Linked DNA regions of Oryctolagus cuniculus. The protein of the gene in region 3 purifies or fractionates together with the protein of the main gene of each other region. This does not show direct contact. Links are inferred from orthologs where the notes say so. Each region holds a gene or a part of one and is shown on either strand. Other genes may lie near its edges.

Region 1 (10,226 bases), on a different chromosome or scaffold from region 3:
CTTGGCAGTTGTCATCTTACATTATTTGTCAAAGGAAATGTGTTTGGCAGTTAAAAATCTTTCCTTAGATTTAGTGGTGGAGTTTAACCTCTTAAATAAATGTTAGTCTATCAGATTGTGTCCTTGAAAATATTTTACTTGTATGAATCATGACAATGTCTAAATCTTTACTATTCTTCAGGTGAAAGTATCAGTAAGAGAGAAGGAGGGGGAGAGAGGGAGAGAGAGAGAGAGAGAGAGAGAAAGAGAAGTATAGCCTTTTTGTCAGAAAAATATTCTTTTTAGCTGCTTACTTTCTCATGAAAAGTAAAGATGTTTACAGTGTATGCCAACATTTTCAGTTTCTATATAACAACAGTTAGAGGTTCTAATCATACTGAAATTGTGTTACAATGGCCTGAGCCATGTTGCTAGGAAACAATAGGTTCCAATTTTGTATTCCTGCTCTCATTCCTGTGCTGAAAAGTGACTGGATACTGTACAGGTTCATGTTCTCTGGCTGCAGTTAAATGGTCTTTTGCATTTTGCTCTGGCTTTCAGGCCAGAAGCATGCATTTTTCTACAAGAGCATCACAACAACATGCTGTAAATATTTAAAGTAAAACATTATGTGTCGATATTTGAAAGAAAAGTACTTTGAATATTTCATTTTTAAAAAATAAAATTGCAAATGAAAATGGTGTCCCATTTTATTCATGCGCCAAACTGCATTTTTAAGTCAGCCTGGTCACCCGAGATAGGAAAAGTGAGTGGCTCCCTAACAGGGAACAATGAAACCATGTCATTTTGAAAACGTAGCTGCAGAGAGGCCCTGATCCCAGGTAGACGGCTCTTCATTTTGATGTCTCATGTAAATATGATCTCGGACACAAATGACCGTTTAATAAACAAAGAAGAGTAGCTGCTGGAAGTGTAAAGGCCTCTAGGCTATGACTTTTCCAAAGGGTTCAGTGCCTCCTGCTGCCTTCTTAGCAATAGAAAGGAAATTTTTTAAAAATCATAAAAGAGGGATAAGGGAGAGCTAGGAGACCAGGGCACCCAAATACATGAGCAAAAAGAAAAAGAAAAAAAGACGTTGAGAGGGGCAACCACGAAAGATGAATAAAAACAACAGTCATTGTAAGACCCCGCATCCCAGGCAATTACAGTCACCATGGGAGTTATTTTCCACATGAAGTTGTATTTACAAGTGATGCCGGAAAGCCAGCAAACAGATCTTCAACATTTTAACCTGCTACTAGGGGGACACATGTAATCCCGAGAGCCCCTAGCTGAAATTTGATTGGAATGCTAGAATTTATACCACTTCACAGCGCCCTCCTGCTGTGTTCTTCAGTGATACAGGGATATACAGGTACAGTGAGGAGAGTCATGGAGCTGACAACACCCTTGATTGTCTCAACATAACCCATCATCCAAAACAGCAGGGCGTGTGGGGGGAGACTAGGGTGTTAGTATCACCTGGGAATTTCTTCTCCAAAATGTGCAGCTCACCCCACCCTCAGTATTTTTAAAAAAAGACAAGAGGTCCTACACTGACAGAATCATTACAGGAAATGAGAGATTTTTCCGCATTTCTTCTCTATTCACTTTCCCTTTTAAAAATCTTTGAATATCAATGCTATTAAACATTTATCAATGTTACTACTTTAAAGTTTTATAATTGCAGTTCTTTAATAATCTGTGAGGATACATTATTCCTATTTGGCTGGCATATTCCTCAGAGCCTGACATACTTAAGGTCACATAGATAATCTATGACAAAGCTGGAAAGAGAATTCAGGTCTCATGCATTCCTGCTTTTACGCTCTCTGTCCAGTATTGAATATGCTATTGCCTTTTGCTGTCTTGTGAGAGAACAGTTCAATTTCTGTGTGTTTGCATGTGTATGTATATATGCAATCAAGACATATATGTTAGGTTGATAAGCTTTATCCTGTTCATCAGGCTTGTTACATCTTACTACGTTAAAAAAAAGTCTTCATTTATAAACCTATTGGTAAGAATTCAGCCTTTTACTACAAGTTTGGCCAAGACTCCAAATTATGAAAGTGTTCACAGTGAGTAGTTTCACTTCACTTCTAGCCACACAGTGCAAGGTGATGGTAACCCATTTACTACAAGGGCAAACATAGGTGGTAAAGTTGAATTTATAGCATCCTAACAAGAAGACTAGGCATCTTATAACCTTGACGTGCTTAAGGGCAAATCTGTATTTTATTGTTAATAGACTTTGGATTCTGAACTCAATAAAGTGAATCAAATAAAATATACGCCGATGTTATAACATTCTTAACAGATTTTATAGCTAGTTCTCACATTTTAATTTTCCATCTATTCTACCAAAGAATATCTTAAATTCAGCCTTTTATTTACACCGGAGGACTTAATCAAAGGCATTCTCTGTAGACTTATTCTACATATGCACCATTCTACCTATGAACAAAGGTTCCCTGTCTGTAACAGCCAAACAGACAATTACCTAAGCTTGTCCTCACTCACCTTATCTCGTGAGAGCAAATTTCAGAGGAAATGAACAAGTATTTGATAAGCTGTCATGCTCCTGGTGGGCCTGCTGACACACTTTTTTTCTCCAAAGAGAGGTGTAGGCTTGGAAATACATGTGCATTTTTCTATCTTGACTCAGCATCTTACAGGTATAGGTTAGCATGGCAATGTTTTAGATATGGCAAGGATATGACCTCTCTATAAAGGTGCAAGCTATTATGTACTGGGAAACAGCAAGTTGTGCATGTTGGGAAAGAAAAAGTGAGGGAAAAAAAGTTGATGAATAAAAGGCCAGCCGAAGAAGACAGGGGGTGGGCTCATCAGCTGGCAAATCTGACAATAGCACAATCAGAGAAGCACTTACCTTTCCAGGGAAGCTGTTCAATAAGATAAGTAAGATGGCCTTCATCAGTGCTTTATTTCCTTTATTAATAGCCTCTGCTCTGCATATTTTCAAAAGGAGTATTTTAAGACAAATTAGGTAAATGAAGCTTTCAAACACTTTATTAAAATGTGGAAGACCATAAATGATTCAAGATAGCTGTTTTCAAAAAAAAAAAAAAGCTCTCATAAAAGCACATGCAAACATGATTCATGTGTTTAGGATTAATCCAGAATGAGCACATTCAAGAGTAAAAATTAGCTACACATTTTATAACTTAAACTCAAGCTTCAAATAATTAAAAAATAAGAAACACATGCATTTTTGTCTAGAAAGTAGGCTTTCTGGAATCCTTTACAATTTAAAGTGATGCTCTTAATTCAAGAAATAGCAAACCATGCCCTATACCTTATCGTGACTGTACTCCACCTTGTGCACTCCCACAGCGTCGATGTTCAGTGTTCACAAATCGGACCTTGACAGCACATGGGGAGTAGTACTGTCTCTCAGCAGTCCATTAATTATTAACCAAGCCCACCAACACGCATGTACAACCTGGAACCCCAATTGATTAGTTCACAATAAAGCTCAGCCTTTTCCAGTAGACCAGAAACCACAGTATTTGTTACTTCATTCTGCCTCTAAAGGCAGACCTACCTACACATGGGGAATCTCACTTATCATGTATTTATCCACCTTTATTGTTGTTTTCTTGTGCAACTAGACAGTGAGCTATCCAAGGACAGGGATCAAGTGTTTTTATTTCTCTACCCACCGCCCCGTGCCCTCTTATGTTTGTTGGCTGAAGCAATTCAATGAGCCCTGAAGCAACCCAACATAAAATCAATCACTCAAGTCATGCAAATACAAATGTGAAAAGAAAATACTGCATAAAATTCAGACTCTCACTTAGCTTTCAATCACTTGGAATTGTTAAAAGTTAATGTAACCGTAAGCTTTCCAATGGGCTTCTAGGGATACCTAAGAGGGAGGTGCTTCCGCATGACTTACTGGAAGACCTGCAGCTGCTGAGGTTGCCCTTTAAATCAGGTTTCACGTGTAGTGGAAACAACCTGCACAGAGGCAAACTAAAAGATGAAAAGTACACTTCACCGGATTTGTAAGTTTAAATCCCGGAGCATCAAATATAGTCAATATTTAGAGCATATTTTTAATTGTGGGATTTTCAACTCCACATTAGTATGTAGATGATTACTGTACTACATCAGAACACTAGGCAAGAAGGTGGCTTTCAGAATTAAACAGAAACGCTTTGCTATTTCTCTAGTCCTTACTTTAGCAAACAGTACACAGCTTCATGAATCCCAAAAGAGCCTATGACACCATAGCTAATGGAGAACTGCATATGCCAAAGATGAAGGCTACTAACCAACATCCCTCCATACAGTCAAAGCGAAACAATTTCAAATCGGTAACTCTCAAATAATATTTCACTAAAAATGGTGCTTTTGACAAAAACTGAGTATTATTTTTATTTGTATTTGGCAAGAATTGATATCAATCTCTTATAAAGTATTCATTGTGCTTTAAATTGTTTCCCATTTGTAAATACAATAACTGAAGATAACCTAGGGAATTATTTTTTTTCCAATCCCCATTTCAAAGCTCTTCATTATCTACAAAGCCCATCTCAGCTTGAACATCAGGCTAGATGCTTCCATTAGAGGACTATGATGGTTTTAGAAATGCATTTGTAGCTCACTGAACTGTATTATCTACAATATATAAGACTTAGCATATATTTAAATTACTGAATAAAGTACAAGGTGTTTTCTTTTTCTTCATGGTGCTTTCAGGCATACATCAGGATCTTCTCTTCTCCCTAAAAAAGTAATAACAAAACTCAAGAAAAGATAAGCATTCAAACTATTTACAGCATAAGTTAACTCAAATGTATAATCAAATTTCCTACTGTATAAAATTTACAACAATATAACACGATGATACACCTTAAGCAACTATTATTTAAAACTGAGTTTTGAAGAATGGAATACTGGGCAGAAGAGAACAATTAGCCAATTAGAGTTCTATTTATATTTCCATTATTAAGGCTAAGTATTCATTAATTTAATTTGCCACTTGAGTCTAATTGTCAGTTTATGCCTGAGTCCCTGTCAAAAAATTAAAAGGACATAATGATTCATTTTCTTTTATCATAAATATTTATTGTTTCAATCAAGGCATATCCTCTTACTCCAAACAAATGATTTACCCCTTTCTTTTTTTTTTTTTTTTTTGACAGGCAGAGTTAGACAGTGAGAGAGAGAGAGAGAGAGAGAAAGGTCTTCCTTTCATCGGTTCACCCCCCAAATGGCTGCTACAGCTGGCGCACCGCACCGATCTGAAGCCAGGAGCCAGATGCTTCCTTCTGGTCTCCCATGCGGGTGCAGGGCCCAAGCACTTGGGCCATCCTCCACTGCACTCCCGGGCCACAGCAGAGAGCTGGACTGGAAAAGGAGCAACCGGGACAGAATCCGGCGCCCCAACCAAGACTAGAACCAGGGGTGCCAGCGCCACAGGCAGAGGATTAGCCTAGTGAGCCGCAGCACCGGCTATGATTTACCCCTTTCAATAGAGGCATACAGTCACGTTTCAGACCATTACAGGCATCTGCAGGTATTCATTTTAGCCTGACATACAAGCTAAAATAGCTTTGCTCAGGAGTTATAGCAGTTTGTGCCAGTGGAATAATAAAGTCCACTAATTTAATTTTCTTTACCACAATAAAATTTCATTAATTAAGCAGTACCAATTCAGACATCAGGATCACATAGACCAAGTAACATTAGCCTTTATATCCCTGAAGGGGAAAAAAAAGTTTACTAAGCAAAGGTAAAGAACAGCCGAGATATTCCCTGAAGTATCCCATCTTTCAAATTGCTAGTGTCTGAATTAGTAAAGTGAAATAGGACTTACATACCTACAAAGGGACTGAGGAGAATAAAATGGAACAATAGGGATTAAAATGTAGTGGGTTTACAGAATTGTTGACATTTTTGCACAGCTTTATTAAAAGTTTGTAGTATAGCATGTTGAAACTATAGCACATAATTACCACTCACTTGATCTTCCAGCTACCTCTACTTTCTCATTGCATCTTTCCTGAAGAACTTCTAAGTGATTGTATTGTTATAAATAGGTTAATACATAACCCTGAACTTCCAAGCCCTGTCAAAAAATAATAGTAAACCCAAATCTGTAGTACCTTGTGTACTTCGGGCTGAGGACTTCTCAACTGGATATTGCAGAGGTATTACAATGCCTTGATCTGGCTTCTGAAATGCTGAAATGAGATTTTTTATTTTCCGGAAAAATCGTTTATGTACCCCAGGTGCTGTCTGAAAAATAAAAGGCCAAGCAAATTATTTATTTATCTCATATGGATACAAAAAGGCCTAAAAAATGTGCAAGTGGGGCTTAGAGAGGTAACATTTGTGTAACGTGTTTAAATATTTGAAAACATAAGGAGGAAAGAAAAACAACATTCCGAAAGAGCTTACTTTGGTTGGCTGAACTTCCCTACAAGGGGAGCTAATGAGCTGTCATTTAAGCTCTCCCAAGGGTGGTATTAGTTTGTACAAGCTCTTGCTCCTCGCTCTGCCCTTCCTGCCTGCTACCCATCATACATCCTGAACCTCTAAGGGTCTACAGGCCATTACCCACAATGAATTCACGAACAGGGAATGAAGGGAAACACACACACACACACACACACACACACACACAAAAGCACACATACACTACAGGTCATTAACAAAAAACCTGAGGAATCAACCTCCCCCCCCCAAAAAAACCCCTACAGCCCATCCGCCCTGTCATAGCTCCATGATATAAAATACTGTGCAAGAAATTAAAACTTGACTATTGCAATACATGAAGCACATGGGTAGTTAGCCCTCATACTCTTTAGCCTGAAAATATGTCCAGCTTCATCCTTCACATGAAATTGTTTCCTCCTTGGGAAACTTCCTTGTTCTCCCCAAAATGGCTGTCTCCGTCAGTACTGCACTGTGACAATGCTTTCTCCATGACATGAGAATAGAAGACTCTATAAAGGTCAGGTTTATATGTTTGTTTCTTTTTAAAGAGAGCGGTGTTTGCAGGCAATTATTAAAATGCGTTCCTTTCCTGACATCAGTTCTCTTGCAAAGACAGTGCCTGAAATCAACAACTATTTCCTGCAAAAGCTTGTGAGCCATGCTTTAGGCAGTAGCTCGGAACTGTCATTTCACAGGAAATAAAATAGTATTGCTATGAGCCATTCAACAATGGCTAGTTTTTGTTTTTTTAACAAAGTTGTTTTTCAGCTATTCCATCTGGAAGATTTTTGAGGGGGAAGCTGTTTGGTTTTTAGCATCTAATGAGAAACCACGAAGGCCAGGATACAGACTTCTGTCCGCCAGCGCTCACAGGAGTTCACACACTCTCCATAGTAACTCTGATCATGTCTTACACTGGGGTGATTTTTCACTGAAAACATTACAAAAGTTTGTTTTAGCCCTCATCTATTGTGCACCATACACTCTCAGTAGACATAAAACCCTCTCCCACCGAACTCCACAATGATCCAAACCCCTGCCTAAAACTCCATTGAGACTTCATCCAGAATAAGATAGCCTTTCTTTCGGAGGTCAAGACAATTCTTTGCCTCCAAGGTAACACCTCCAAATTTGCAAATGCAGGCCATGGCCACAAAAATACTTTCTTACAATTTCCTTAGCATACTTTTTTAATTTTCAAGGCAGTTTCCCATCCCCTGCCTCTATTTCCTCACAGATTGGCAGTTGTCGGTGGATTCAATTATTTCCATTTTGACAGATGAGAAAATGTAAACACAAAGAAATTAATCGGCTTGCCCAAGGTCATTCATGTAGACAACCGCAGGCAGAACTGGCTCTGGATCTTTGGACACAGTTTCTTGCCTTTCAGATTAGGACTAAACCAAACAGGGGCTAACGAAGCTACAATCACTAACTAGAAGAGAAATCATACACCCCCTCAGTGTCAAAAGAAGGCAAACCACATATCTTTTGACTGTCCTTGTGGCTTGTAAAAAACCATTTATCAAGAGAAGGATTATTTTTCTGGGTACTGATATCCAGTTAACACTTAATTATCCATGCCAACAGAGAGGAATAATAGCTCCAGCTGTACAGAAGCAATTCAGATTTGGGATGCAATCTCTCATTGGCAAATGAGTGACTGAATTTATAGCATTTTGCTTAGGTTAATAAGTAAAATTATTTAGCATCTACTGATCTGATGATCAAATATAAAAAAAAAACACAGGCTGGGTCAGCAAGGGGCGGCCAGTACATTTTATACAATGTAAAACCAATGCACATGTTAATAAAGGATAGCTGACTATGTGTATAATCCTCTAAAAATTTAGTAAAGTTTTAGGGGGCCATCACTTTGGCGTAGTAGGTTGAGCTTCCACCTGTGGCTCTGGCATGCCATATGGGCATCGGTTTGAGTCCTCGCTACCCCACTTCCCATTCAGCTCCCTGGTAATGGCCTGAGAAAGCAGTGGAATATGATTCAAGTGCCTGGACCCCTGCACCCACATGGGAGACCCAGAACAAGCTCCTGGCTTCAGATCAGCCCAGCTCTGGGGAATGAACAAGGAAATGAAAGACCTCTCTGTCTCTCTCTCTGTAACTCTGCCTATCAAATAGGTAAATCTTTTAAAAAAAATCTAGTAAAATTTTAACTTGAGTCACATGGGATAACTTAATACACTATGCAATAATCTAAGAATATGTAACATTTTTCATAATTCAGTGGATCCAATATTCAATTTTAAAACAAATCTCAGCCTTTCCCAGATGTTATGCATAATCTTTAGACAGAGATTAGAGTACTACTCTTATGATTTTTCCTGCAGTGTGGCAAATTAAAAAGTTGTTACAAAAAAAACTAGTATAAATATCTATCATTTACCCAATTTTGAAAAAGCATTTACCACAAGAATTGTATCACTGACAGCTCCTATCCTGTCACTGAGCTCAGCTATTGTTCAAATGTGCACATTTCTCCTACTGTCACCTCTTGGTTATTCATGGAAATATGTGTTGGCTCCTAGCTGGTCTTCAATATGCTCTAGAGAAATCTCTTCCAGTCAGGTGGTACGAGCTCTGAGAATACACATAAGTTTAATATTCACATTAGCAAACCATAACTTAGAAGGCCAATTTGGCAGATAGGAAAAATGCAATATGAATTTCAACAATTAAAGAATTTTTAAACTGTTTTCTATTTGGTAACAATCCATGCCAATCTTCTGCTCTCTTGGTGCAGATAATTACAATATTATTATATAAATAAGGTTAGATCAGACGAGGGCATGAGGGGGCATTTATGTGCAATAAGCCCTCTCTCCTCTTTAACATGATCACAAGCATGTATCAAAATTCATATAATGTTATACTCGAAATGGAGGAAAGAAAAAATAAGGTTGTTAAAGCCTTAAGAATTTAATATCCTTTCCATAAAGAATTTTCTTCAGCAGATGAAGGGTACTTATCTAAGGAGAAGTGCTATTTCTGGTCAAATCATACAAATGTGTGTGTGCGTGTGTGTGTGTGTTTCTGTTATTACACATAACCACTCTTGATGATAACTTTAATCATCTCTGCAGTGATAGAGAATTTAAAGAAATAAACAGGTGTAGTTTTGATTAGAAATGTTACTGATTTTCCTTTAGTATTAAAATATTAATTATCCTGATATAAAGCAGTAATGTGTTTAAAAACTTGCCCTAATTCATCTCAGTAGTTCAAAATGTTTATAGTCTGTAATTTGTACTTTCCAGTTTATTTACGAATTTTTAAAGCTCAGAGCTATTTTGATTTTTTGGGTCTAGACTTTAGAGTTTCTTAAATGCATAGCATGATTGAGGTATTAATAGAGGTTGAAATTAGCATTTAAATTTTCAAAAGCTTATAATGAATAATTTTAAGAGAGACTGTTATACAGAGGCAGAAAGCAGAGAAAGCATTTGAGGTTGAAGCCTCCAGTTGTAGAGCCTTTATGACTGGTAAGATGTGATATAATGCACTGTCGTGGTCCATGGAAATGGATTCACTCTACAGACTTTTCTTGCAATCATCTAGTGGCTTTCAAATCTTTTCAAAGCCATAAGAACCCTTTTTTCTAATGAAATCTTATTCGGATCCCCTGAGTTATAAGCAAAAATAAAAAAGGAACTCAAATCAAAACCAAAGTAGATACCAGAAGCACTCCCACTTACCTCCTCTAGCCCTGCAAGCCCCCAGGTAGTCCCAAGTCCTCCAGGTAGAAGAACCCCAGGATT
Region 2 (10,226 bases), about 2.0 Mb from region 3:
TTGCTCTAGGCTCTAGAAACTGGAATATATTTCTTAGTATATAGAATTCAAGATACAGAACTGAATCCCAGGGAGCAGGCTTGCTTCCAGCATCCTTTACTGAATTGACCAGAAGGATTTGGCTTCCACAGCTCTCTGAATATGGCATTTCACTCCTTGTCTTTGTAGTAACCATGGATTGCTGTGACCCAGGAATTCTAAATTATTCATACTTTGGGGCCCCAGCCACAGTTCCTGTCCACGTTATCTGGAAATTTAGAGTTCCTCTCTTCAATAAACTTGGAAAACCAGTGGAGTGAAGTGAACCGTTAAGTTTTGAAGATGGCAAGAGAAACGGCATAGAACTTGGTACATTCAGAATGAAGGTGGTCTTGATTACCATTTTGAACTAGTAGAAAAATTGAAGGGGCTTTACCAATGCAACAAACTTTTCAGAGATGTGCTTCCAATCGATAGTCTCTAGGAACGAGACACGTCTGTATGCAACACATATTTCTACATGCTGTGGAAGGCTCAGGGGAGATCCAATCATGCTTTGATGACACTGAGAACCTCGAAGGGAAGAGAAATCACAAATGGGGGAGTATGTATCATTGTACAGAACTACACTACAATGCTGTACAACTACTGCTGAAGTGGTTGGTGCTTGAATAGAAACAGGAAGAAAGTGTGTCCAGGTTGATGGCAAGAAGATCAAGATTAGAAAGGAGCAGAGCTAGAGAGAAAATATACCTGGCTGGAGATGGGTGTGTGTTGTGGATCAAGGCCCTCACCATGACCAAGACCAACACAGACAGCTACGCAGAAGGTGACAGCTGAGATCCTGATCCCATTGATGCTGTATAAATTTCCATCACTCCCAACTTCCCCAAATTCACACAATACAACCAGGTCCAACAGGGGGTTTGGGGCAGTGTGCATCATCCCACCCAACCATTTGCATTACAGATGAAGAAACTAAGACCTAGAGAAGGGGTGAAGTTTTTCCAAAGTAAGGCAGCCACAGGGCTTGAACTCATGGCTCTGATCACAATGGCAAGTGTGCACCCCTCTCTGATCAGCTTGTCAGAAGGAGAGTAACAATCGTGACAAAGCAGTGGTAGGACCTTTAACAAGGCAAGGAGAGTAGGTCCAGGTTGTCTGATTCCAACAAGGAAGAGAGGTGAATGGGGTGGCGGGGGCTGGCTGGAAACTGCTTTTAGAATACACATGGGAAGCAGGGATGTGGGGAGTGACTTCTCTGGGGCTGGCAGATAGAAGATCTTCAGTTACCCAGGCCAGGAAAGTCTGAATTGTCCACTGGAGCTTGGCATTCTGGACTTAACACCTGCAGGAGAGAGAATCACCAGATGAGAGCTGCCACCTCATTTCTTCTTGAACTTGCTTTGTCCAGGCTCCATATCTTCAAGGCAAGACATGCACATAATCATGGCCACTGTTTTCTGGGAGGAAAGCATAAGACACGCCATGAGACTCCACAGCAGGGGCCACACTGACCAACCCCTTCCAGGAAAGAAGACATCTCCCCAGACACAGCACCATCTTGAAGCCACATCACAGTGTCATCTTCAGAGGCAGCCGGGGTACCACAGGGAACTCTCCTGGTAAAATAGGGGATTCTCTTAAAATCGAATCCTTAGAATTTCCACCCCAGGTGTCTCCATTCACCAGCAGAAAACCTGGGCGTCTCTCAGAGGGAGAACATCTGACGCTTATTCTAAGGAGGCAAAGGGAAGGGGGAAGGAGATGAGGACAATGGTAGGGTATTTCCCTGCTGCAGCTGAGGCTGCCAGTGCAGACCAGTGCGGGGAACTGGGCTTGAGAATCTCATCCAATTCTTAGGCAAGAGCGCTGAGGGGCCTCCGGGTGTTTGTGTTGCTCTTATTGCTAAGACAAATGCCATCAACAGCCCCCACCAATGCCATCAGCTCATCTGGGCTAGCCCAAAGGTTGCAGTACAGGTACAGGCCTGGATTTCTAACTCTGTTGCCTTTTTTTTGGTTCTTGTTCTTCAAGTTTTGGTGGAAAATGGCCATGGGACTCCATTTGAAGCTGGACCTACACTAAGTGATTTTGTGTATACATGGGTGCACTAACCTCTGCACTGGCAAGAGCAGGGACAGAGAAACAAGGATTGGGAAGGGCTTTTGTTTTAACTGTTAAAACCCCATGCTTACTCATGTTAGGGAGGTGAGAAGCTCACTGTGGCAGCCTGAAGGGTGACTTTGGCGAAGACAGAGTAGAATAGGTTTGGGATGATTGCAAACTCCTCGATAACTCTCTGTCCTCTGTCCTTGTTAGCTAGACCATCTGCTCTCATCATCATTACCTGCCCACTGGTGACTGGGAACACATTGAGCAGGTAACCATACAGTTCACCATGAGAAAACAGAATTACACATACATGCCTCTGGAAGTCTGCATTAAATTCAGACTGTGTTGCAAATGACACATCCTAGTTTCTCTTCTGAGAGAAGATTCCAAGAATATGAGGAAGAAAGAATCGCTACTTGCGATGTGATTTGGGGGTCCTCACTACGGATTTTCTGTACTCAGGTTTCCTGGCTGTCTCTCATCCTCCACCAAGACTTACCACCTTTAGAGATGTATCTGAGGTAATTTGTCATCTAGCACTTTATACATGAATGCTTAGCAAATGTTGATCAAAAGGTAACAGGATGAACCTTGGGAAAGCCTGAAAGTGCTTCCTCCTATTTGCATATCTGTCTACTTGTCCATTAATTGCCAAAGGCTAATTGTTGACACAAGGTTACAGAATGAATTCGAAGTGAGCACTCCTGCTATCCGGGCTGTCCAAGGACAGAAAGCTCTGTGACCTGCCACCTTCAGGGCCTAGAAGACCTCATTTCTCAACTCAACAGAAATTGCTCTTAGCAGGTTGAAGCTTTTCAGAGATAGTGGCACAGAAAACGGTATTTGTTTTGCATTGATTCTACAAAGCAAGCTGTTGGTGGAAGTGGGGTTAAAGCTCCTTCCTGACCCTGAATGAAAGCTTTTACCATAAATAGCATCCAACTCTGGTTTTGATCTTTTCTTGTTGAAGCTTCTTCTCCGGATTGGTTTTAAAAGCTGAACCACCAGACCTTGATTCGGTTTTTCAAATTTTGAGATCAATTCCTTTAGGCTTGGAAAGACCTGTTTTGGAGTCCCTTCTGCAGTCTGCAAAAGTACAAGAAAGGAGACCGCTTATCCTAGTGCAAGTGTGTGCGAAACCTAACACTTCTCAAAACAGTGACTTTCAAGGATGCCACACGGAGCTGACAGAGTGGCTAGCAGTTCATACCAGCTGCAGTTTACAGGAGTCCTTGCCTTTTTTTTTTTTTTTTTTTTTTTTTTTACAGCCAGAGTTAGACAGTAAGAGAGAGAGAGAGAGACAGAGAGAAAGGTCTTCCTTCCGTTGGTTCATTCCCCAAATGGCCGCTACGGCCAGCGCTGTGCCGATCCAAAACCAGGAGCCAGGTGCTTCTTCCTGGTCTCTCATGTGGGTGCAGGGCTCAAGCACCTGGGCCATCCTTCACTGCCTTCCCAGACCACAACAGAGAGCTGGACTGGAAGAGGAGCAATCGGGACAGAATCTGGCACCCCAACCGGGACTAGAACCCAGGGTACCGTCACTGCAGGAGGAGGATTAGCCTAGTGAGCCGCAGTGCTGGCCATGGAGTCCTTGCTTTCAAGACTGACCTCTGACTAGAACTACTCTGAGAAAAGAGGGTTTCCAGCCAGTGGATCCCTGGCTGGGTTTGCAGTCTGCATGGCAAGTGGATGTAGGGCCGCTCTTGGTGTAGACACACTGCCAGACCCTGGGCCTTGTTGGCAAGCTTTGCTGCCTGAGGGAATGAACAGAGGTTGGCTTCTGGTGGGAAAGGGACGTGTGTGACTTACCTGCTGGATCAATTCAGAATCTGCAGGCAAACAAAGCCCCAATTGAAACTGAAACGGCGAACATCACCACAACTCAGTTAAATTGGAAATGGTGGTATGCTGCTTACCAGCTGTTCATCCAGGACTATTTTGTAATAAGACCTCATAGAAATAACCTAAAAACAAAAAGAACTGGCTTTCTCTGCTCTTATGTGTTTGGTTTTCTTGATTATGCACTGTGGTTCTCCGGCAGCCACCGGGCTGGGCCACGGAGAGCAGCAGTTTCTGGCATGCGGTCTGGTTAACCTCTAGACTGACATGACTGACATGGAGATTGACACTGTGGCTGCTGCAGGAAAGTCCCCTGAATGCACTCACTTGAACCCAGAGCATCATCCGCCGCAGACCTCTGGCCACAGTGCAGTTGCCCTTTGAAGAAACAGCTCTTTGCGTCTGAGTTGTCGTTGATTGGGATCTGCTCCGTGTTTTCCAGGTCAGAGACAAAACAGGGCATTGAGGGATTATCCAGAATTTCCCAAAAGAAGCACAGCAAAGAGAAAGCGTTTTGAAATCCCTTGCCCTTTTTTTTTTTTTTTTTTTTTTTTTACAGGCAGAGTGGACAGTGAGAGAGAGAGACAGAGAGAAAGGTCTTCCTTTGCTGTTGGTTCACCCTCCAATGGCTGCCACGGCTGGCGTGCTGCGGCCAGCGCACCGCGCTGATCCGATGGCAGGAGCCAGGTGCTTCTCCTGGTCTCCCATGGGATGCAAGGCCCAAGTACTTGGGCCATCCTCCACTGCACACCCTGGCCACAGCAGAGAGCTGGCCTGGAAGAGGGGCAACCGGGACAGAATCCGGCGCCCCGACCGGGACTAGAACCTGGTGTGCCGGCGCCGCAAGGCGGAGGATTAGCCTAGTGAGCCGCAGCGCCGGCAAATCCCTTGCTCTTTACAAGATCTGTTATTGTGAGACAATTTCAGATGTAGAGAACTTGCAGAAAGAGTGAAGGAGCGGGAGTTGTAGCACAGTGGGTTAAGCTGTCGCTTGTGATGCCAGCATCCCGTATTGGAGGGTTGAATCCAGTCCTATCGACTCTGCTAATGTTCCCTGCCTACGCACCTGGGAAGGCAGTGGAAGCTGTCTTAGGTACATGGGAAGATGGCCCAGGTACTCTCCTCTTGGGGGTCCAGGATGGAGTTCCTGGCCCCTGGCTCAGCCCTGGATCTGGTTGGCATTTGGGGAGTGAAGCACTGGATGGAAACCTCCCTCTCTGTCTTTCAAATAAACAAATCTCTTTTAAAAAAAAATTGTAAAAACCTATATAGATTCTTTACTCACAACCCAAATGTTTATTCTCTTTATTATAATTTTATTCTCGCTTTATAAGCATACACACACACACACACACACAAAAATGATAAATGTACATATACCCAGGTGTGTAGCCTTTTAAAAACACTTCTTGAGTTTTAAATTGCAGGAAAAATATCCCTTTCGCCCTAAATACTTTAGTATTTCCAAAAAAATGTAAGAACGTTCTATAACCATACTGCAGTGGTTCAAACCAGGAATCAGCCTTGCTGCAGTACCCCAGGTTCAGTATCCTCAATTCAAAATGCTCGGGACCAGAAGTGTTTCAGATTTGAGATGCACTGGGATTTTGGAATACCTCATCTTGCGGATGAGGCCCAAGTCTGAACAGAGTTTATTTATGTTTCTTATGCACATAGCCTGAAGGTAACTTTATATAACGTTTTAAATAATTCTATGGGTGAAACAAATTGGAAACTTCTCCAATTGTGTTATAGCCATGCTCAAAACATTTTAGATCTCAGAACATTTCAGATTTTAGATTTTCAGGTTTGGGAGATGCTCAACCTGTGTTTGCTGATCATTTCAGAATTTTGCTGATTGTTTCAATAATATCCCCCAGATATATGGAAAAAGAAACATTATAGATGCAAATACGTTGTCTGGGTAGCCTTGTTCATTCCGGTTGCTTGCAAATATTCACAATGCCCATCAGCATATTGAAGTCTCAGAGAAATCTTGTAAAAAAATCTAATGAACTTCTTATGGAAGTGTTTCAGAAAGATTATTTTAGTATTTTCTATAAGTAATTTAAAATGTTTACATTTATTATATTTTACTTCTTAAACCAGATAACTAAATTCAAAAGAAACAAAAAGATTTTTCTGCTTAGCTTCCGGTAGAAAAATGAATCAAATCCTTCCGGTTGTTTGATGATCTCCTTTATATTTCTGTATAACTGGAATACACTTGATTTCCAAAACCTTCAGACTGTCCCCACCTTCCCTTCCTATCCTGCTTCATTGTTTAGCTTCCAAATTCAATAATGGTTTCGCATGGAGTCCGGGTGAGTGCATCTGGCTGCTGGAGGAGCCAGAGTTGTGTGCCTCCACACGTTTGAGTAATAGCCAGGGTAAAAGCGGCCGTAATTCCAGTAATCTTCTGTCTCATAGAAAGACAAGCTTAACCCTTGTTCTGAGTCTTGGTGCTACATGGCACTTCCCTTTTACTATGTCTGTATGTGGTCACTTTCTAGGTTCAGGAGACGATCTCAGATTCTTCTCTCCCACCTTTTAGCTGTTGCAGGAGTCCTTATAGTTCTTACCTTTATCTTGTAATACCCATGTTTCTCTCTGAAGATTCGGTATGTGTAGACAAAGTTTTTAAACCTGTGAAAATAAGACTGTGTGAATCACAACGTTCTTATATCCAAATCCAGGTAACTTGTCCTACTGTGTTGTCTACTCACTGCCTCTGTCAATCTTGGATTCCAAAAACGAAAAGTGACCATCTTCAGGCCCTTCCATCCGTGGGAGTTTTAATGAGCTAGATTTTGAAATGGGGACCCTCAGGCCGGCACCGCAGCTCAATAGGCTAATTCTCCACCTGCAGCGCCAGCACACCAGGTTCTAGTCCTGGTCAGGGCGCCAGATTCTGTCCTGGTTGCCCCTCTTCCAGGCCAACTCTCTGCTGTGGCCCGAGAGTGCAGTGGAGGATGACCCAAGTGCTTGGGCCCTGCACCCCATGGGAGACCAGGAGAAGCACCTGGCTCCTGCCTTCAAATCAGCGCCGTGCGCCCGGCGCATGGCCACAGCGGCCATTGGAGGGTGAACCAACGGCAAAGGAAGACTTTTCTCTCTCTCTCTCTCTCTCACTGTCCACTCTGCCTGTCAAAAAAATAATAAAAAAAAATAAAGAAATGGGGACCCTTATTCTGATATGGAGGTCTGGATGCTAGCAAAGAGGATAAGAAGAGAGATTTTACACCTCCCACGGTCTTGGTACTTCTCTCTGTTATTTTCACTAAGATAGAAGTTGATCGAACATGCAGAACATGGGTGAGTCATGCTGCTCATTGAATGTCTTGTCACTGGTTCATCAGAGATAGTGCTGTTCATGGAGAGAATACTGGGAGTTTAGGCTGATGAACTGATTTACTGTACACTCATTCCTCATTAGAAAAGCAGCCATTGGCTAAATAATCCAATCATGCATTAGATAATAGACCCAATCTTGCAACTCAAAGCAAGAAATAGCATAAATGGGCTGGTGCTGTGGCGTAGTGGGTTAAGCTGCTACTTGCAGTGCTGGCATCCCATATGGGTGCCGGTTCGAGTCCTGGCTGCTCCACTTCTGATCCAGCTTTCTGCTAATGCATGTGGGAAAGCAGTGGAAGATGGTCTAAGTCCTTGGGCCCCTGTATGTGTGTGGGAGACCCAGAGGAAGCTCTTGGCTCCTGGCTTCGGATCGTCACAGCTCCGGCTGTTGCAGCCAGTTGGGGAGTGAACCAATCAGATTGAAGACTTCTCTCTCTCTGCCTCTAGCAGATGGAAGACATCTCTCTCTCTCTCTCTCTCTCTCTCTGCCACTCCTTCTCTGTCTGTGTAACTCTGACTTTCAAATAAATAATTCTTACACTTGATCTTAGCTAAAAGGCTGAGAAGCAATCAAATAAATAATTCTTTAAAAAAAAAAAGAAATAGCATAAACTACTATAATTCTTTAACTCCAAGATGTCATCTATGGTAAGAGACATTATTAATTTATTAATTAATAAAGCTCTTCCAGGAGAAAAATTATGCATTAAACATCTCCATGGACTCCTGTACAGGTTCTGATTTCACATAAATATTACTGAAGTAACACCTTGACAGTAGGGACTCCATTTTGGAGCACTTGAGACTCCATTCTGGGAAGGTGCCCCCCCCCCCCCGAGACTCTGGTCTGAAACTATGATCTAAAACATTTGAACAAGAGCAGCCCACTACATCACACTTGGAAGAGCATAGAAACCCCCTAACATGATCGCTCAAGCTTGGAAGTGGATAGGCTGCACCTGGGTTAATAATAAAAATGTAATTTGTCTATGTCTTACATATGATTAAAACCAATACCTGGATTAATGTCAAGATTATAATTGGAATTGTTAAGATTGTAACTGGTATTGTCAAGATTATAATTGATACTAGTTTCTCATAGGTTTTAGCTCAGCTTGACCCCACCAGTAACCATGTACTCCCCCCGATCCTAGCAACCATGTATTCCCCTCCCGATTTTGTGGTTTTTGCCTTTATAACCCTGTTGCTTTGGGCTTCAGGGTCGAGAGTTCTTTAGGGCATGAGCCCACTCTCCACCGCCGGCAATAAGGACCATCGAATTTTATCAGTGTGTGATGCTCCTTTGTTTACACTTGCTCAGGTACGACATTACAATGTAAAAAGACGAAACCAAAGACATTGACATGAGATTCACACTATAGGGTGAGTCTTTTCCCTCCTCGCATCTATGTTAAAGAGTGAAAAGATTAATAAGTGAGCCAGGGAGCTACTTTCAGCTTTAGGATACAGCCAACACCATTTAGGAGAATTCATCACTAATTATTTGGAGATGTTGGCAACTGACTTTAAATTTCAATCCTTTGTGGGTTTTTTTTTTTTTTTTTTTTTTTTGACAGGTAGAGTTATAGACAGTGAGAGAGAGACAGAGAGAAAAGTCTTCCTTCTGTTGGTTCACTCCCCAAGTGGCTGCTATGGCCATCACTATGCCAATCTGAAGCCAGGAGCCAGGTGCTTCTTCCTGGTCTCCCATGTGGGTGCAGGGGGCCCAAGCACTTGGGCCATCCTCCACAGCCCCCCACCCCCACCCCGGGCAACAGCAGAGAGCTGGGACTGAAAGAGGAGCAACTGGGACTAGAACCCGGAGCCCATATTGGGTGCTGGTGCTGCAGGCGGAGGATTAACCTAGTGAGCCACGGCTCTGGCCCCTTGTGGGGTTTCTTAAAGCCAGGATAAACCAATCAATTTCCTCAAAGCAAATGGCAAGCAGCAAAAATGCTTTATAGGTGTCTTTGTGCACATAAGACAATTAAAGGACTCCAGCTTGGGAAGAGATCCCTAAAATGGCTTTTCACAAGGTATTCAAATTCAAATGCAAACAAGGTCCACACGCTGCATTTCCTCCATTACATAGGTTGGTTGGCTGGGTTTTTTTTTTATTTATTTATTTTTATTTATTTATTTTTTTGACAGACAGAGTGGACAGTGAGAGAGAGAAACAGAGAGAAAGGTCTTCCTTTGCCATTGGTTCACCCTCCAATGGCCGTCGCGGCTGGCGCACCGCGCTGATCCAATGGCAGGAGCCAGGTACTTATCCTGGTCTCCCATGGGGTGCAGGGCCCAAGCACTTGGGCCATCCTCCACTGCACTCCCGGGCCACAGCAGAGAACTGGCCTGGAAGAGGGGCAACCAGGACAGAATCTGGCGCCCCGATCGGGACTAGAACCCGGTGTGCCGGCACCACAAGGGGGAGGATTAGCCTAGTGAGCTGCGGTGCCAGCTATGGTTTGTTTTTGAAACCTGAGGATCACAGAACCTATGTTAAATCCTCAAGTAAATGAATTTAATTTAATTACATTGTTGAATTATCAGCCCAGGAAAAGCCTCAGGAGAGGGCCATGGAAGAATAAGACACATGGAGGTCTATGTTAATTAGCCTAAAAGCCACATACTTCAGGCTAAAATGATAGTATTTCTCAAAAAATGGTCTATTTTTCAAAAAATATAAAAAAGTCACAAGCCCCATTATAACAAGATTTTACAAGAAATTGATTTATTGAGCTTACAGTGCCTAGATGTGTTTTGGAACGTTCATGGCGAAACACCCTAAGAGATAATGGAGCGGTGAGGTCGTACCCATTTCCCATGATACTATGGTTGGAGTGTTTGTGTTTCTTCAAGGTCCATGGTGAAGCTTAATCCCCACTATGGCAATATTAGGGGGTGGGGCCTTCTGGGACCTGATTAAGTCTCCTCTGTGG
Region 3 (10,754 bases):
ACCTTTAATGCCTCTTACCTAGTAGGTCTCTGGGTCCTCGCCAGTAAATTAGCTAGGGCAGAGCCATCCTGCCACTTCAGAGAGTTATGAGGAGGACTAGTTGAAGGAGCGTACACGTGGGGTGTACATGCTAGTGGGGAGGGACCCTGAGAGTCCCTGGGGAGTCTTGCCTGGAGGTGTGTCCACTGCATGCCCCAGTGTGAAGCACTTTGACTTAGTGATTAAAAATGCAACTTCCTGGGCTTGAGTACTGGCTTTGTCAGGGACTGGCTGTGGGCCTGGAGAGTCAATACACTCTCTATGCCTCAGCGTCCTCAGCTTTAAAATGAACGTCACAGTGGTGACATCATAGATATGTTAGAAGGGTCAAATGAGTTGATATCTGTAAACCTCTTAGAATAGTGCCTAGTATATAGTGGACATTAAATATTTGTCATATAAAGCAAATCAGCAGCTTTATAGAGGTTGAAATAACACCCAGCTGACTCTGAGGTGGAAAAGAAGGGTTGAAGTATTGGGGAGATGTTAGAGATCAGTGTGTTGCTTTGATAAGAAAGGAAATGAGGGGAGATTGCATTGCTTCTTAGCAGACAATTCTATGCCCTTGTTTCATTATAATGCTTCAAATAAGAATTTCTTTTTCTGTTTTGACACCAACTCTATTTCCTTTTTTCATATACTGCCTTCTGGAGTCAGTAAGTTGGGGTGGAGCCTACATGAATATTGCAGGCTTGGGAGGATTATGAGAGGTCATCTGTGTGGCACCAAGAAGAGAACTGGGTCAAACTGAATGGAGGAAAGGAGGAAAAAGAAGCTTAAAGAGAAGTTGTTTTGTGTCATTCTCCATATAGGTAGAAAGTCCTTGGTCACAGTGTAATAAAAAAGGAACTTACCACTCCCATATGATTACATTATTTTAAAGATTTATTTTATTTATTTGAAAGGCAGAGTTACAGAGAGTCAGAGATAGAGATAGATAGGGGAGAGAGAGAGGTCTTCCATTTGCTGGCTCACTCCCCAGGTAGCCACAACAGCCAGAACTGTCCCAGTCCAAAGCAAGGAGCCAGGAGCCTCCTACAGGTCTCTCACGAGGGTGCAGGGGCCCAAGCACTTGAGCCATCTTTCTACTGCTTTCTCAGGTCGTGGCAGAAAGCTGGATTGGAAGTGGAACATCCAGGTCTTGAACTGGCACCCATATGGGATGCTGGCACTACATGCCCCTCCATACAATTATATTCTATTTCCCCCTGAAGCTTTTTATTTTATATCATCTTTATTGAGATCTGGATTGACTTAAATTGGTTGTTTCAAAACAAATAGACATGTGCAAATATACACATACACACATAAAAACCTCAAAACAAATATAAGGTCACAGCCATCCATTGTTTCGTCATTGCTCCCTTCCACTAGCATATAATTGAACACTGAGTTTGATAACAGAAATATGGGTATCTAGACAGTTCCACCAGCATTAGTACTGACTCCCCTAATGATTGCTCATTTCTCTTTCTTTTCCAAATTCTACATTGATGAATCTAGTTAGCCCCAACCTTGCAGATTCATCCCCTCCAATGTCTAAGACAAGAAAGGTTTGATTCTGGAATACCCAAGTGGGCTGAATGGCCTAGAACTCCTGCTGTGAAAGTACTCTGGATGCCTTGCTGGTCACCACAGTGACCTCCAGGGCTGCTTCAGCAAAATGGGCTGGCAAGTTGGGTTTCTGCTTTCTCTTGTGTCATTACAGGATTACTGGGCCACAATGTCCCAGCCTCAATTTGGAAACTGAGTCTAGAGCTGATATCTTTTTTTTTTTTTTGACAGGCAGAGTGGACAGTGAGAGAGAGAGACAGAGAGAAAGGTCTTCCTTTGCTGTTGGTTCACCCTACAATGGCCACCGTGGCCGGCGCACCGCGCTGATCCGATGGCAGGAGCAAGGTACTTATCCTGGTCTCCCATGGGGTGCAGGGCCCAAGCACTTGGGCCATCCTCTACTGCACTCCCTGGCCACAGCAGAGAGCTGGCCTGGAAGAGGGGCAACTGGGACAGAATCCGGAGCCCCAACCGGGACTAGAACCCGGCGTGCCGGAGCCACAAGGCAGAGGATTAGCCTAGTGAGCCGCAGCGCCGGCGAGCTGATATCTTGATATCTAGCTTTCCCCCCTTACACAACAGCTTTCCATTTCTTTATCTGGGCTTCTGCTCTTGAGCCCTTTCAGTGTGTTAGCTCTCTGCTCAAATCTCTTTCTGGAATAGAGGCCTTGTCTTCATCTTGAAGGCCCATCTCTGCAAGGATTTCATACCAGTGACAGGTAGACTCTGTCAGCATCTGGTGTCTAATTTCCAAGGACAGATATCCAAGTGGGCAATTCACCTTTTGGATTTCCAAGTTTTGACTCCTGGAACACCCTATGACTAGTCTACATCCAATTAGACAGCAAGACCATCTTGATATTATGCTTTTTAAAGTAGTTAATTCAGATCAATCCAAATAATACGGGTGTGAATGGTACTTGAACTGTCTGGAGATGGTTACTGCCTAGGTTGTTCTGCCTTTTTGGCCTGCCTAAACTTCTATAATTCACAAGGAGCCGCCTGCCAGACACATCCCCCTCTACAGGGGGTGTACAGACAGGTGCAGATTCTACCCAAATAGTCTTGACAGGAATAAATAAATCATCACTCTTTACTGATAAATTCCCAATTGTGATAACCATCTACAATGGAGACAGTATTTTACTCCATTTCAGCATCAAAGTGGGTGGAGACAGCATCTTGAATTGATTAAGTCTAAGGACCTTGAAGTATAGATCCTACCTCCATCACTTTTTGTATTATCAATGTCTCCATCTGTAAATAAGTGTCCTGATAATACACATCCCCTAGGGTACGGTGAAGACTAGAGATGATAGCCATTGTCTCAATACAGTAGACTGCTTAGAGTAATGCTTGACATGTAGTGATTGTTCCTTACATGGTTGATTACTCTTACTAATGAGAGAGAGGAGAAAGGTGCAAAGGGAAGGAGTTGCAGAAATAACAGCATGAAAGCCATGGAGAAAAGGAAGAATTAACTGTGAAATCTCTGACTTCATGAGGAAGGAATGGGTCAGGTGCAAAGGCAGTGCACTCTTTCATCTTCTATCATCCAAGGGTGAGTGGTTAGGAGGGTAAGTGGAAGTACAGTCAGAGTCAGTGTTCTCCATGTTATGATGATAAATTTGAGATCAGAACATAAGACTGTGAGTCTTGGTGCCCAGAAATAAATTTCCTTATACAGAGGAGTCATGAGTTTCCACACTTGAACTTCCCTTATGCTAATTATTTTAGGGGGAAGTGAGACTTTCTACATTCAGCTCTCCAAATAATTTTAATTGCTTCTGCCGAGAATTCTACAGAGGTGCACAAAATCAGTGTTGACTCTTAAGCCTAGCACTAAAAATGAGGGCTCACCTCTACCAGGAATAGTTGCAGGAGAAATTTAGGATATATTTTTTTGCAATAAGGAAATGTTTGTGGAAAGATACATGAGGCAAAAAGATACATCAGTAAAGGGAAATGATATGGAAGGTACTTCTGACTTTTCTTCTATGAAAGTAAGCCCTGAAGTGAGCATTTGGCCTAGCAGTTAAGACACCTGTGTTTCATAATGTCATGCCTGGGTTTGACTTCCTGGCTGTAGATCCTGACTCCAGTTTACTCACAATACAGACCCTTGGAAGCAGCCTTGATGGCTTAAGTAATTGGGATCCTGCTAACCATATGGGAGACCCAGATTGCATTCCTGGATTCTGGCTTTGGCCATGGATCAGTCTAACTGTTGAGGGCATTTAGGGAGTAAAACAATCGAAGGAAACTCCCTTTCTGTGTGTGTAACTTGTCTCTCTCTCAAAAAAAAAAAAAAAAAAAAAAACAAAAAAAAAAAAAAAAAACCCAAAACAATAAAATAAACCATCAGAAACAAGCCAGCAAAATACAAGTCTCTACTCCCTATTTCATGGGTCCCTGATAAAAGGAATATCTCCCCTGGTTTTCTTTTCCAGTATGCTGTCAGCCCATACTTAAGCTCAAACTCTGACCGCCTTTCCTCCTGCTCACATTGCTTGGGTTGCCCAGTATTTTGATGTTATAAAGCCACAGCTATTCCTAATAATGCATGCAAAGCAAGTGTGAAAAACAATAGAACTAGATAATATTTGTTAAGCAGTTTATGTTCCTGTTCTTTGCCAAGTGCTGTATATGCATTATTATTCTAATCTCAAAATAACCCTACTGTATTAATAGTTTTCCCACTTAGAGATGGAAACAACCAAGTGAGAGAGGTTAGATAACTTTCCTAGGGTCATAAAGCCGATGAGTGTGAATGGTTAGCTACTACCTGAACCCACTGCTTTCATTTCAGTTTCAGTACATGGGGAAGTGACTAGAGCTGCCTTTTGTCTTAACCAGTGCTAGCCCTTGCGGAACATCAGGTATTTTAAAACTTAATGAGTGAGGTCAGGTGTAGCAGAAAGACCTCTAGCTTTGCGATGAGAAGAGTAAAGGTGTGTCTCCAGCTCTACCAATTTCAGGAGGTGAAATTTCAGGAAAAATTTTAAACTTCAGAATCTTAGTTTATTTTTTCTTTACATAATGGAATTAATCACATCTAGCTTTCTATTTTAATGGTTTTCTATAGATAGCAAGAATATAAGCACAAACTCACAGAATACCTTACAAATTAAATGGTATAAAATTCTGTCTAGTCTTTCTCTGAAAGATTAGGGGTATTCCTAGATCCAGTTCATCTCTCCATGTAGCACTTTCAGTCTGCCTCACAAGGGTGACCATCTCACTGGCTCCAGAGCCTTGCCTTAGCTCATGGTTACAAAAACCATGAAGATCAAAATAAAAGGAGCCACAACTTTAAATTGCCAAGGGGACAAGAGGAATCACAGGTATTGTTTCTACCTTTTCAGAAAATCCTAACCCTCTACATTCACTGGCTTCTAACTCATGCCAGAAGTTTTCTACTATATTTCCAGAGTTGGTAAGAGATACCAACTAGATAGAACTAGATTCAGAGACTTCAAACATGGTGAGTTTTTGTCTAACCAGGAAAATTATTTGAATTTGATGAGATAATAATGCCATGCCATCTTAATATTACATAGTTTGTACTAATAACAACCAATATTCATTTTTGTCCTTTATAGTTTGCTACTAAGCCATAAGCAAGAAAAACAAGGGTTTAAAGTTAGTTTAATTTTAATTTAATGCTCCCTACCTCTTTTTTTTTGATAGTTAACTTATTCGTAAAAATGAGATAAAGATCTCTTCAATTTAATTTAGAGAGTTTTTGGGGGGATAAAAGTAGGCTAGTAGCTGGGAATGTGCTTTGAAAATAAACAGAGCTTAGAGATGAGATTTTACAATGATCATGTGATACATCACTCTAACTTAATAGAACAATGAAACACAGTTAGGAAGAAAATATTTCTGAAAAACCATATACTGTACTCTAGTGCCAGAAAGAAATTGCTTTTAGTTATTCAATGTTTTGGATAATGTTTTTGTCAAGCTTGGGGAGTGGGTTTACCAAGTGCTAACCCTTCTTCTGAGAAGATAGTTTTATCTCAGAGCTTTGGAGGTAGCACAGATAAAATTCAGAAATATGAACTCTTACCACTGAAAACCACTTAGGCTTAGGTCTTTAGCTTCTTCCCAGTCAGTTGGTTTTCTTTTGAGTATAAAATATACTGATACTTAGGGCATTACGTTAAAAACATATTAAAGCAACACTTCAGTGTCTTCCCAAATGTAATTTTTAGAACAATGAAAACTAGGAGGGGTTAGCAAAGATCAGAACTCACAGATAGGCAGGCAAAGGAGCAAGATCCATAGGTGGTGCAGAGCCATCTTCTTCTGGGGTCTAAATGTCTGCACCAGAGCGGCTCTGTGCTGGCAGAGACTGTTTTGCTTGAGTTTCTTGCTCCTTTTTATAGCCACGTTTAAGAAAGGAAGTGTGAGCTAACTGATTTAGGAAGACTTGTTTTTTTTATTGCTATGCTAATTTTTTCCAATTAGATAACTTAAAAGGTGCCTTGCCTTAATTAGTATTTGTCCAACAAAATCCAAATATTTATTGAGTACCTACTATGTGGCAGATACTATTCTGGGCACTAGTAAAATAAAGAGTAACACAGTAATTGCTTGACCTCTTTTTGTGGGGCTTATGATCTCTTTGGAAGGATCAACAGTCAAACAGGCAACTCCAATATAGTGTGATAAATGTTGCCATGGGAGAAATACAAGGAGCTATGGGAGTGGCAGGGGCATCTAACCCAGGCTAAAGGGAGCTGCCAAAACCTCCCTGAAGGAACGGACAACTGTGCTGAACAAGACCTAAAGAGTGAGTTAGCATTATTAGGCAAAAGCTGGTGGTAGATAGGAAAGAAGAAAAATGTCTCAACACATGGTAGGAGCTTATTAAGTGGTAGTAATTAATATTATATCATTAACATTACATAAATTGATAGAATTATGTAATTATATAAGATAAATTATAGATTAATTTTATTGTAAGCAAATAGAATGATATATATAATCATTATTATTTCTCCTTATGGAAATTATTTACTATAATTAATATTTAGCATATTAACAACACACAATTATGGTGATATATACCATATATACATATATGGTAATATATACTACGACCTTGTCTAAATATGATCAGAGTTGGTGAACTCAAAAGGCTTCCATAGCCTTGGCAACTCATGACAAGAGCCTAGGGTGATTACTGATGCCATAAACAAGAGTGTCAATTTGTTAAGTCAACAACAGGAGTCACTGTGCACTTACTTACTCCTCATGTAGGATCTCTGTCCTTAATGTGTTGTACATTGTGATTTAATGCTATAACTAGTACTCAAACAGTATTTTTCACTTTGTGTTTCTATGTGGGTGCAAACTGTTGAAATCTTTACTTAATATATGCTAAACTGATCTTCTGTATATAAAGAGAATTGAAAATGAATCTTGCTAGAAAAGCGGCGGCAGCGGCTCCAGCAGCAGCAGCAGTGGCAGCAGCGGCAGCAGCGCCGGGCCCCGGGCGGAGGTGCTCGCAGGCGGTGTTGTTTCTCGAGCTGCGGCAGTGCTCAGCCCGGCGCCAGGACGAGTCCGGCTCGCGTTCGTCCGCGGAGATCTCTCTCATCTCGCTCGGCTGCGGGAAATCGGGCTGAGGCGACTGAGTCCGCGATGGAGAAAACTTTAGAAACTGTTCCTTTGGAGAGGAAAAAGAGAGAAAAGGAACAGTTCCGTAAACTCTTTATTGGGGGCTTAAGCTTTGAAACCACAGAAGAAAGTTTGAGGAACTACTACGAACAATGGGGAAAACTTACAGATTGTGTGGTGATGAGGGATCCTGCAAGCAAAAGATCAAGAGGATTTGGTTTTGTTACTTTCTCATCCATGGCTGAGGTTGATGCTGCCATGGCTGCAAGACCTCACTCAATTGATGGGAGAGTGGTTGAGCCAAAGCGTGCTGTAGCAAGAGAAGAATCTGGAAAACCTGGGGCTCATGTAACTGTGAAGAAGCTGTTTGTTGGTGGAATTAAAGAAGATACTGAGGAACATCACCTTAGAGATTACTTTGAAGAATATGGAAAAATTGATACCATTGAAATAATTACTGATAGGCAGTCTGGGAAGAAAAGAGGCTTTGGCTTTGTTACTTTTGATGACCATGATCCTGTGGATAAAATTGTATTGCAAAAGTACCACACCATCAATGGTCATAATGCAGAAGTAAGAAAGGCTTTGTCTAGACAAGAAATGCAAGAAGTCCAGAGTTCTAGGAGTGGAAGAGGAGGTAACTTTGGTTTTGGAGATTCACGTGGTGGTGGTGGGAATTTTGGACCAGGGCCAGGAAGTAATTTTAGAGGATCTGATGGATATGGAAGTGGACGTGGATTTGGAGATGGCTATAATGGGTATGGAGGAGGACCTGGAGGTGGCAATTTTGGAGGTAGCCCTGGTTATGGAGGAGGAAGAGGAGGATATGGTGGTGGAGGACCTGGATATGGCAACCAGGGTGGGGGCTACGGAGGTGGTTATGACAACTATGGAGGAGGAAATTACGGAAGTGGAAATTATAATGATTTTGGAAATTACAACCAGCAACCCTCTAACTACGGTCCAATGAAGAGTGGAAACTTTGGTGGTAGCAGAAACATGGGGGGACCATATGGTGGAGGAAACTATGGTCCAGGAGGCAGTGGAGGAAGTGGGGGTTATGGTGGGAGGAGCCGATATTGAGCTTCTTCTCTTTGCCTTGGGCTTCACTGTATAAATAGGAGAGGATGAGAGCCCAGAGGTAACAGAACAGCTTCAGGTTATCGAAATAACAAATGTTAAGGAAACTCTTATCTCAGTCATGCATAAATATGCAGTGATATGGCAGAAGACACCAGAGCAGATGCAGAGAGCCATTTTGTGAATGGATTGGATTATTTAATAACATTACCTTACTGTGGAGGAAGGATTGTAAAAAAAAAAATGCCTTTGAGACAGTTTCTTAGCTTTTTAATTGTTGTTTCTTTCTAGTGGTCTTTGTAAGAGTGTAGAAGCATTCCTTTGATAATGTTAAATTTGTAAGTTTCAGGTGACATGTGAAACCTTTTTTAAGATTTTTCTCAAAGTTTTGAAAAGCTATTAGCCAGGATCATGGTGTAATAAGACATAACGTTTTTCCTTTAAAAAAATTTAAGTGCGTGTGTAGAGTTAAGAAGCTGTTGTACATTTATGATTTAATAAAATAAATTCTAAAGAAAAAAAAAAAAGAAAATGAATCTTGATGTGAATGGAAGGGGAGAGGGAGTGGGAAAGGGGAGGGTTGTGAGTGGGAGGGAAGTTATGGGGGGGAAGCCATTGTAATCCATAAGCTGTACTTTGGAAATTTATATTCATTAAACAGAAGTTAAAAAAAAACATACAATTATGGTAATATATAAGATCCAGTATCATATAAATATAGTTATAATATATAAAACATTATAAGTATATGACAGATAACAATATATAATTATATACTTATAAATATGATTACTATTATACTTTTTAGAGATACAATACATTTTTTTAAAGATTTTATTTATTTATTTGAGAGGTGGAGTTACAGACAGTAAGAGGGAGAGACAGAAAAGTTTTCTGTCCATTGGTTACTCCCCAAATGGCTGCAACGGCTGGAGCTGTGCTGATCCGAAGCCAGGAGCCAAGAGCCAGGAGCTTCTTCCAGTCTCCCACATGGGTGAAAGGGCCCAAGGACTTGAGCCATCCTCCACTGCTTTCCCAGGCCATAGAAGAGAGTTGGATTGGAAGAGGTGCAGCTCAGACTAGAACCGATGCCCAGATGGGATGCCGGCGCTGCAGGTGGAGGATTAACTTACTGTGTCACAACGCTGGCCCCAACAAAGTGTATTTTTTAAAAAGATTTATTTATTTACTTGAAAGAGTTATACACAGAGAGAGAGGAGAGGCAGAGAGAGAGAGAGGGAGAGAGAGGTCTTCCACCTGCTGGTTCATTCCCCAGTTGGCTGAAACAGCTGGAACTGTGCTGATCTGAAGCCAGGAGCTAGGAGCCAGGAGCCAGGAGCCAGGAGCTTCTTCCTGGTATCCCACACAGGTGCAGGGGCCCAAAGACTTGGGCCATCCTCTACTGCTTTCCCAGGCTATAGCAGAGAGCTGGATCAGAAGTAGGGCATCTGGGACTCGAACCAGCACCCATATGGGATGCCAGCACTGCAGGCGGCAGCTTTACCTGCTATGTCACAGTGCGGCCCCCACAATACACCTTTGATAAGACTTAAAATCGAAAGGGATTCTTTAGACTATCTACTCTGTTTTGTAGCTGGGGAAACTGTGATTTTTCCCAGGATGACACAGTGAGTTACAGAACTGGGGTAACAGCCAGAGAAGGTTATTTGCTGAAGCCTGCACTACACAGACATGCACAGCAGCAGGTGCAGAGGAAGCACACTCAGGAGGGATTAAGCCAGGTGTAACATGGGACTGTTCTTCAGCAATGGCCCACGTCCCAACCATAAGAGCGAATGCCCTTCTCTGTGCAGGGGTGTGTCATGGGGTGGCGGTGGGAATAAATATTTGGGTCCAGGAGCCAAGAAGTTTGATCTTGGGCCTCATTGTTTTGAGGAGTGCTGGGAAGGCTGGGGACACAGTGCTTGAGTTCTGGGGGTGGGGGTGGGGGTGGGTAGAGTTGTGTACAGCTTTTCTCACTGAGAGGAGATGCTGACTAACTGATTCTAAGCAAACCGATTCTCCGGAACAAGTCTTTAAATAATTCTGTTTAGGGGCCGGCACTGTGGCATAGCAGGTAAAGAGGGCACCTGCAGTTCCACCATCCCATATATGGGCACTAGTTCAAGTCCCGGCTGCTGCAGTTCTGATCCAGCTCTCTGCTATGGCCTGGGAAAGCAGTGGAGGATGGCCCAAGTCCTTGGGTGCCTGCACCTATGTGGGAAGGCCCAGAGGAAGCTCCTGGCTCCTGGCTTCAGATCGGCGCAGCTCTAGCCATTGTGGCCAACTGGGGAGTGAACCAGCGGATGGAAGACCTCTTCTCTGTGCCTCTCCTTCTCTCTCTGTGTGACTCTGACTCTCAAATAAATAAATCAATCTTTCAAAAAAGAACTCTTCAGGCCGGCGCCGCGGCTCACTAGGCTAATCCTCCGCCTAGCGGCGCCGGCACACCGGGT

The links. Proteins that work in one complex are often made in the same cells at the same time.
Region 1: the proteins of CD84 (region 3) and SH2D1A purify together in Homo sapiens (affinity purification with western blotting; 4 studies listed by BioGRID and IntAct, with this or other methods). This does not show direct contact. The link is inferred for Oryctolagus cuniculus from reciprocal best matches to the Homo sapiens genes CD84 and SH2D1A.
Region 2: the proteins of CD84 (region 3) and SH2D1B purify together in Homo sapiens (affinity purification with western blotting; 3 studies listed by BioGRID and IntAct, with this or other methods). This does not show direct contact. The link is inferred for Oryctolagus cuniculus from reciprocal best matches to the Homo sapiens genes CD84 and SH2D1B.

The regions. Positions count from the first base shown.
Region 1 is NC_091453.1:102,152,257-102,162,482, reverse strand, and holds the end of SH2D1A (SH2 domain-containing protein 1A), read right to left. Parts: intron 6,250-10,226; coding exon 6,117-6,249; intron 4,734-6,116; coding exon 4,693-4,733; 3' UTR 2,986-4,692; downstream 1-2,985.
Region 2 is NC_091438.1:36,330,472-36,340,697, reverse strand, and holds part of SH2D1B (SH2 domain-containing protein 1B), read right to left. Parts: intron 6,580-10,226; coding exon 6,516-6,579; intron 4,358-6,515; coding exon of another isoform or gene 4,261-4,357; intron 3,181-4,260; coding exon 3,021-3,180; intron 1,443-3,020; coding exon of another isoform or gene 1,405-1,442; exon of another isoform or gene 1,328-1,404; coding exon 1,269-1,327; 3' UTR 1-1,268. UniProt on the Homo sapiens protein: Cytoplasmic adapter regulating receptors of the signaling lymphocytic activation molecule (SLAM) family such as CD84, SLAMF1, LY9 and CD244. In SLAM signaling seems to cooperate with SH2D1A/SAP.
Region 3 is NC_091438.1:38,327,894-38,338,647, reverse strand, and holds the start of CD84 (SLAM family member 5), read right to left. Parts: upstream 5,998-10,754; 5' UTR 5,899-5,997; coding exon 5,853-5,898; intron 1-5,852. Other genes in the region: heterogeneous nuclear ribonucleoproteins A2/B1, read left to right, coding at 7,243-8,301. UniProt on the Homo sapiens protein: Self-ligand receptor of the signaling lymphocytic activation molecule (SLAM) family.